2 linked regions of the Saccharomyces cerevisiae S288C genome follow. Changing the gene in region 2 together with the main gene of any one other region gives a genetic interaction. Each region holds a gene or a part of one and is shown on either strand. Other genes may lie near its edges.

Region 1 (3,062 bases), on a different chromosome or scaffold from region 2:
TTATGAATATGTAAGGGAGCATTTAGAAAATTTGGGTATATTCAAGAAGAATGACACACCAAAGCCAAAGCCATTAAAGTAGATGATGAACAATGGGACTACAAAATGAAATAAAGAAAAAATAGAAATAGGCTAGAAGATCAATTATTAATCGCCCTATTCTTCCTTATTACCTACACAAAATAAAGCAGCAACATAAGAAACAAAAACAAAATGAAAACAAACCAAATAAATCTATGTAAGCATACTCATTTCAATTTGATATTCATTACTTGACTTTTTTGTCCTTATTTGAGGCTCCATAAGCGCGCCATTTTTCCCTACTCCCTTTTTTCGTAAATAGTAATAATGTGCTGAAAAGAACAATGAAGTAGTTATCATACATATTCCGTCGTGTCGATATGAGGGGAGGTGTCTCTTTCTTTCATCCCTTGTCGCAACCTCCAATATATAAGAGCATAAGCAACTGATCTTACTTTAGTAATTAACTTAGCATACCTAGCCCGAAGGAAGAAAAAAAATTCACCTCAACAACATGGTTCCTAAGTTTTACAAACTTTCAAACGGCTTCAAAATCCCAAGCATTGCTTTGGGAACCTACGATATTCCAAGATCGCAAACAGCCGAAATTGTGTATGAAGGTGTCAAGTGCGGCTACCGTCATTTCGATACTGCTGTTCTTTATGGTAATGAGAAGGAAGTTGGCGATGGTATCATTAAATGGTTGAACGAAGATCCAGGGAACCATAAACGTGAGGAAATCTTCTACACTACTAAATTATGGAATTCGCAAAACGGATATAAAAGAGCTAAAGCTGCCATTCGGCAATGTTTGAATGAAGTCTCGGGCTTGCAATACATCGATCTTCTTTTGATTCATTCGCCACTGGAAGGTTCTAAATTAAGGTTGGAAACTTGGCGCGCCATGCAAGAAGCGGTTGATGAAGGATTGGTTAAGTCTATAGGGGTTTCCAACTATGGGAAAAAGCACATTGATGAACTTTTGAACTGGCCAGAACTGAAGCACAAGCCAGTGGTCAACCAAATCGAGATATCACCTTGGATTATGAGACAAGAATTAGCAGATTACTGTAAATCTAAAGGTCTCGTCGTCGAAGCCTTTGCCCCATTGTGTCACGGCTACAAAATGACTAATCCAGATTTATTAAAAGTTTGCAAAGAGGTGGACCGTAATCCAGGTCAAGTTTTGATTCGTTGGTCTTTACAACACGGTTATTTACCACTACCGAAGACTAAAACTGTGAAGAGGTTAGAAGGTAACCTTGCAGCCTACAACTTTGAACTGTCAGACGAACAGATGAAATTTCTTGATCATCCTGATGCTTATGAGCCTACCGATTGGGAATGCACAGACGCGCCATAAAAAGAAAATGCGAACCGTAGAATAACGTATATAGAACATATAATTAGTTTACGTTTCACAAAGTATTAATATTACATGTAGCTTTTTCAGGACTTTCGATCTAAATCAAAGATTAAAGGAGCTGCTAGAGGTAGAAAAGGAAATCATTGACTTTTCTTGAAGATTTATGAGCGGGTAACTGGAGATGGAAATTTTCAGAAAAATTGTAAATGGATGCGATGACTTCGATGTGACGTTACTAGTCTTACCATTGTAAAAACCACTATCGGTGCCAAAAGATAAGCGCAATCAACTAAGAAATTTACCACGCTCTTTGTATTGTATTTATCTCCAATTTAATCTTTCTTTTGGTGTGAAAATTTAGCGAAAATGTCATTGGTGAATTCGTTAACACACTACGAAATTTTAAGAATTCCATCGGATGCAACACAAGATGAAATCAAAAAGGCATATAGGAATCGGTTACTAAATACGCACCCCGATAAACTTTCTAAAAGCATACATGATACGGTTAGCAACGTCACAATCAATAAGATTCAAGATGCTTATAAAATACTATCGAATATAAAAACTCGTCGCGAATATGATAGGTTGATCCTTGAAAACTATAAACGCCAAGGATTTCATAATTGTGGTGATGGGCTGGATGAATTTTCCTTAGACGATTTCTCATTTGATGAAGATAAGCTGGAGTTTATGATGAATTGTCCTCGCTGTCAATTTGTTGGTGGTTTTCATTTTAGTGAGAGTTTGTTAGATGAATGCATTGATAATGTAGACGCTATGGAACGGAGTCATTCTGGTTATCAATTATTAACCCAATGTAGCGCATGCAGCTTATGGCTGAAGGTTAATTTTGACATCGAGGAAGAGCAAGAAGGACAATAATGAAAATGGGAGGGGAAATTGAGCATATCAGATAAATCTGTTTATAGAATTATTATTTTACTTCGTGGGAAATCGAATGGTGTATATAAAAGAGGTTGTAAAATTGACGAAATAAATAGTATTTAGGCAACTAAAGATAAAAAAATATTATTTATTTTTATTCGCGGTGCGTTGCCAGATTTTTTTTGACATGCGGAATTTTGGTAAAAAGAAAAATGCAGATATGAATAGTAAACAAAGGAATAAAAAGCCTTTCATGAAGAAGTTCGTGTTCGAGATCTTCTTCCTTCTTTTTCGCTGTCGACGATAGATATGAATGCTTTTGCCATTGATTTCAAATCCGTCATTAAGCTAACATGACCTGAAGAACTGGCGATTTTACAAACAACTGGAAAGCCTCTCTGTTCAGGCAATAACCATTTATGGTGAACAACACCGTCGCCCGGACCATAGTAAAAATCTTCATAATTCCCATCTTTTATATCTTGTATACCGTTCACTTTAGCACCTCTAACAGTGGGAACCTTGTTACCGTAAACCATGGCCAATGGAGGATATTCTTTGTTCGGGTCGTAATCTAAGCTATCCAAATAATTCTTTGTACGTTTTAAAGTTCTCGCTAAATATTCACAGCTATCTTCATAAGATGTATGGAAGACTTCATCGAAAGGCACATCCCTTGGTACCTGTTTATTATTGCCGGCTACATTCCTAACAACAGGTGCATTTAGGACAAACTTGGTAGTTGCGTTTAGGGTAGCTTTAAGCGAAAGCGCTGATTTCGTTTTCC
Region 2 (3,526 bases):
ATGAATTCGCCCTCTTGGCCAACCTTAGTCTCAATGAAAATTTGCCGTTAACATTGAGAGAGCTCAGTACTAGAGTCATTACCAGCTGCTTGAGAAACAATCCTCCTGTAGTCGAGTTCATTAATGAAAGTTTTCCAAATTTTAAAAGCAAAATCATGGCCGCTCTGTCAAATTTGAATGATTCTAACCACAGATCCTCTAATATCCTAATAAAAAGATACTTGTCCATTTTAAACGAATTACCTGTCACATCCGAAGATCTTCCTATATACTCTACGGTTGTTTTACAAAATGTATATGAAAGAAACAACAAGGACAAACAGTTACAAATAAAAGTCCTGGAGTTGATCAGCAAAATTTTGAAGGCCGACATGTACGAAAATGACGATACAAATCTAATTTTGTTCAAAAGAAATGCTGAGAATTGGTCGTCAAATCTGCAAGAGTGGGCAAACGAGTTCCAAGAGATGGTCCAGAACAAAAGTATAGATGAACTACATACAAGAACGTTTTTTGACACCCTTTACAACTTGAAGAAAATTTTCAAAAGTGACATCACGATCAACAAAGGGTTTTTGAATTGGTTAGCGCAACAATGTAAAGCCAGGCAATCTAACTTGGACAATGGGCTCCAAGAGAGAGATACTGAACAAGACTCATTTGATAAGAAACTTATCGACAGCAGACACTTGATCTTTGGCAACCCCATGGCTCATAGAATAAAAAATTTCAGAGATGAACTCTGATTTCACTGTCATTGCATATATAGTTTAATATTAATAATATTTTTTTCAATTAATATTTCGTGAATCTTATTAGAGATATATTATATATCCGTGTCTAATTTTTAGTTACTTCATCCAAAAACGTCCCGTCGTTGGCCAGTCTATTTCTAAATTTGTCCCACCATGTATCAAACCTCTTGATGGGCACGTTTCCCTGAGCATCTAGGAACCCTGATAAATAGTTATATGCATGCTGAACGATTTTGGCGGCCAATTCTTGTGTCAATGAAGGGTAAACTTGTGCCAACTGCCCTGCCGTGGTAATATTTCGAATTATTCCTAAGTTAGGTCTTGACAAGATCAATGAGTTGTTCTTTTGTGCTTCGGCATTCATGCTGGCCTTCCACTCTTCTAATTTCATCATTCCTTGTTCTCGAGGCTCAATGGAAATACCAATAATCAATTCTGATATGTTATTACTGCTACTTCCATTGGTGTCAGTAAACGGATCAGCGGCCCCCGAACCATCATCTACATCCATGTCTATCTCACCTAATCCATCACTTGTATCTCCAGCGTCTTTCTTCGAGCTCGGTATTTGCACTTTGAATATGGCACTGGGTTTCTCACTGCTTAGGTACCCAAATAGTTTAAATTCTTCCTGAGGGCTAAGTTTGAAATAGACTGTAGCTATATAATCCTGAGGAAAGGTAACATTAGGTAATATAAACAGTGTTATATGCGAGTATAGTTTCGGTTTCGTTCGAGAAAGGACAATTGTATGCTGTAACCCATTTGAATTGGGGACTTCTACCGATAGTTGCAATGGATTTCCTGAGGCAATTGCAGCAAACATTTCTTTATTTTCTCTCACTCAAATATTTCTTATCAATCTCCGAATTTGCAAATTTATTAGACCACTTATTTTCGTATTTAAAGGGTGAGTCGAATTGACGTATTTTAAATAAAATGTAGATCTCTCCTTTTATCCCCAAATTTCGCTTTTAGTACCCGATTCCTATATAACTCTTCCAGAACGTTCGGTCGGCTTCATTAAGAAAATTCAATTAAACTTAATTAAACTTAATCAAGCTTAATCATAATAACAAAATAAACGTATACAGTAGTGGCTAATTACATTATGTATATGACGTATTTACATGACCCTATTGTATCGAAACCTTTTATTAATATTATTATTACTTTTTCTCTCTTTGCAAGAACTGTAAACCTTCGGATAATCTTTTGTTACTTTCCTTGATGCCCAAAATATCTATCATGGCTGCTATTTTGGCACCTGGGTGACATCCCGCAAGAGCAAATCTCATTGCCTGATACGTGACTTTCCTAGAAAAACCGTTCTCATAATACATCGTTTCGACCATAGATTCGACTTCTTGAGCATCGGTGCCCTCTTGAAACTGTCCAAGCTTCTTCAATAAGTGAGCAATGTGGCGGCTTTCGTTCTTGCTTAGAAATTTCGTGACAGCATCATTATCATTATATTTGGGCTTTTCAAAAAAATAATAAAATTCATCATGAAAATCGTTAATCCTTGATAGAGAACCACCACAGTTCAGTAAAATTTTAGCTACTTTCTCACGGCTTATGGTAGATGTGTTATATATGGACTCTAAAGAAGGCATAATGTCGTCGACAAGCTCCCTCAATGTAGAAGGATTAAGTATTCTTTTTTGCAAAAAATGCTTATTGAAGAACCACAATTTTTTATCATCGACTTTGGCATTTCCCTTCGTCAAACCATTCAAATTAAAAATGGTTTCCAATTCCTCCATTGAAAAACACTCATGCTTTTTCGAAGCCAGATCTCTTGGAGGAGACCAGCCAAATAGCGCACAAAAGTTAATCAAAGCTTCTGGCAAAACTCCCTGTCTTTTTAAATCCGAGATAGACATATCACCTTTTCTTTTACTCAATTTCTTATCACCAACCGTCGTCAATAAGGGAATGTGGATGAACTTTGGGCAAGCCCACCCAAATGCATTATATAGGGCGATATGTTTAGGAGTAGAGGGCAGCCATTCCTCACCTCTTATAACATGGGTTATTCCCATCAAATGGTCATCCACAACATTTGCCAGATGATAGGTTGGCAACTTATCCGACTTAACAAGGATAAGGTCATCGTACCGTTTATCGTTAAAGTTTACTTGCGGTTGAAGATTTATTTGTCCATGTAAAAGATCAGTAAACGTTGGATATCGTTCTGGCGATTTAAACCGCACAGTGAAAGGTATACCTTGCGCTAGCTTAGATTTTATTTCTTCCTCCCCTAAGTGTGCACAACATCGATCATAGCTTGCCATCGAAGGAGGTTTCAATTCCATTGCAGAGTGTCTCAAATCGTTCAATCGCTCCTTTGAACAAAAACATCTATACGCCTTCCCAGAAGATAGTAATATTTTTACATATTTGTCATATATTAGTTTCCTTTCACTTTGCTTTATAGGGGTTTCATCGTAGTTTATGTTACACCATTTCAGAATCTCGTAGATGTTTTCTTCTGCTCCCTCTATTAGCCTCTTCTGGTCTGTATCTTCTAAACGAAGCAAAAACTGCCCATTGGTGTTTCTTGCTAATAGGTAATTGTAAAGGGCTGTTCTCAGTGACCCCAAGTGTAAAAACCCAGTTGGAGAAGGCGCAAACCTAGTTCTAACAGGTAAAGAAGGATGGATATCTTCCTTTATTTTCTTGGATAACAGAGATTTCTTCAATGGTGAGAGACCTACGCCCTTTATTAGCTTCGAAGGTGAACAATAAGACCGTGTCGGTATTCTCAA

What was found.
Region 1: mutations in OPI10 (region 2) and JJJ3 together harm fitness more than expected from each alone (negative genetic interaction), as found in Saccharomyces cerevisiae (2 studies listed by BioGRID).

The regions. Positions count from the first base shown.
Region 1 is NC_001142.9:610,660-613,721, forward strand, and holds JJJ3 (Jjj3p), read left to right. Parts: upstream 1-1,753; coding exon 1,754-2,272; downstream 2,273-3,062. Other genes in the region: SFC1 (Sfc1p), read left to right, coding at 1-82; YJR096W (aldo-keto reductase superfamily protein), read left to right, coding at 536-1,384; YJR098C (uncharacterized protein), read right to left, coding at 2,527-3,062.
Region 2 is NC_001147.6:263,484-267,009, reverse strand, and holds OPI10 (Opi10p), read right to left. Parts: upstream 1,582-3,526; coding exon 841-1,581; downstream 1-840. Other genes in the region: SIL1 (Sil1p), read left to right, coding at 1-746; glutamate--tRNA ligase MSE1, read right to left, coding at 1,925-3,526. UniProt on the Saccharomyces cerevisiae protein: Involved in phospholipid biosynthesis.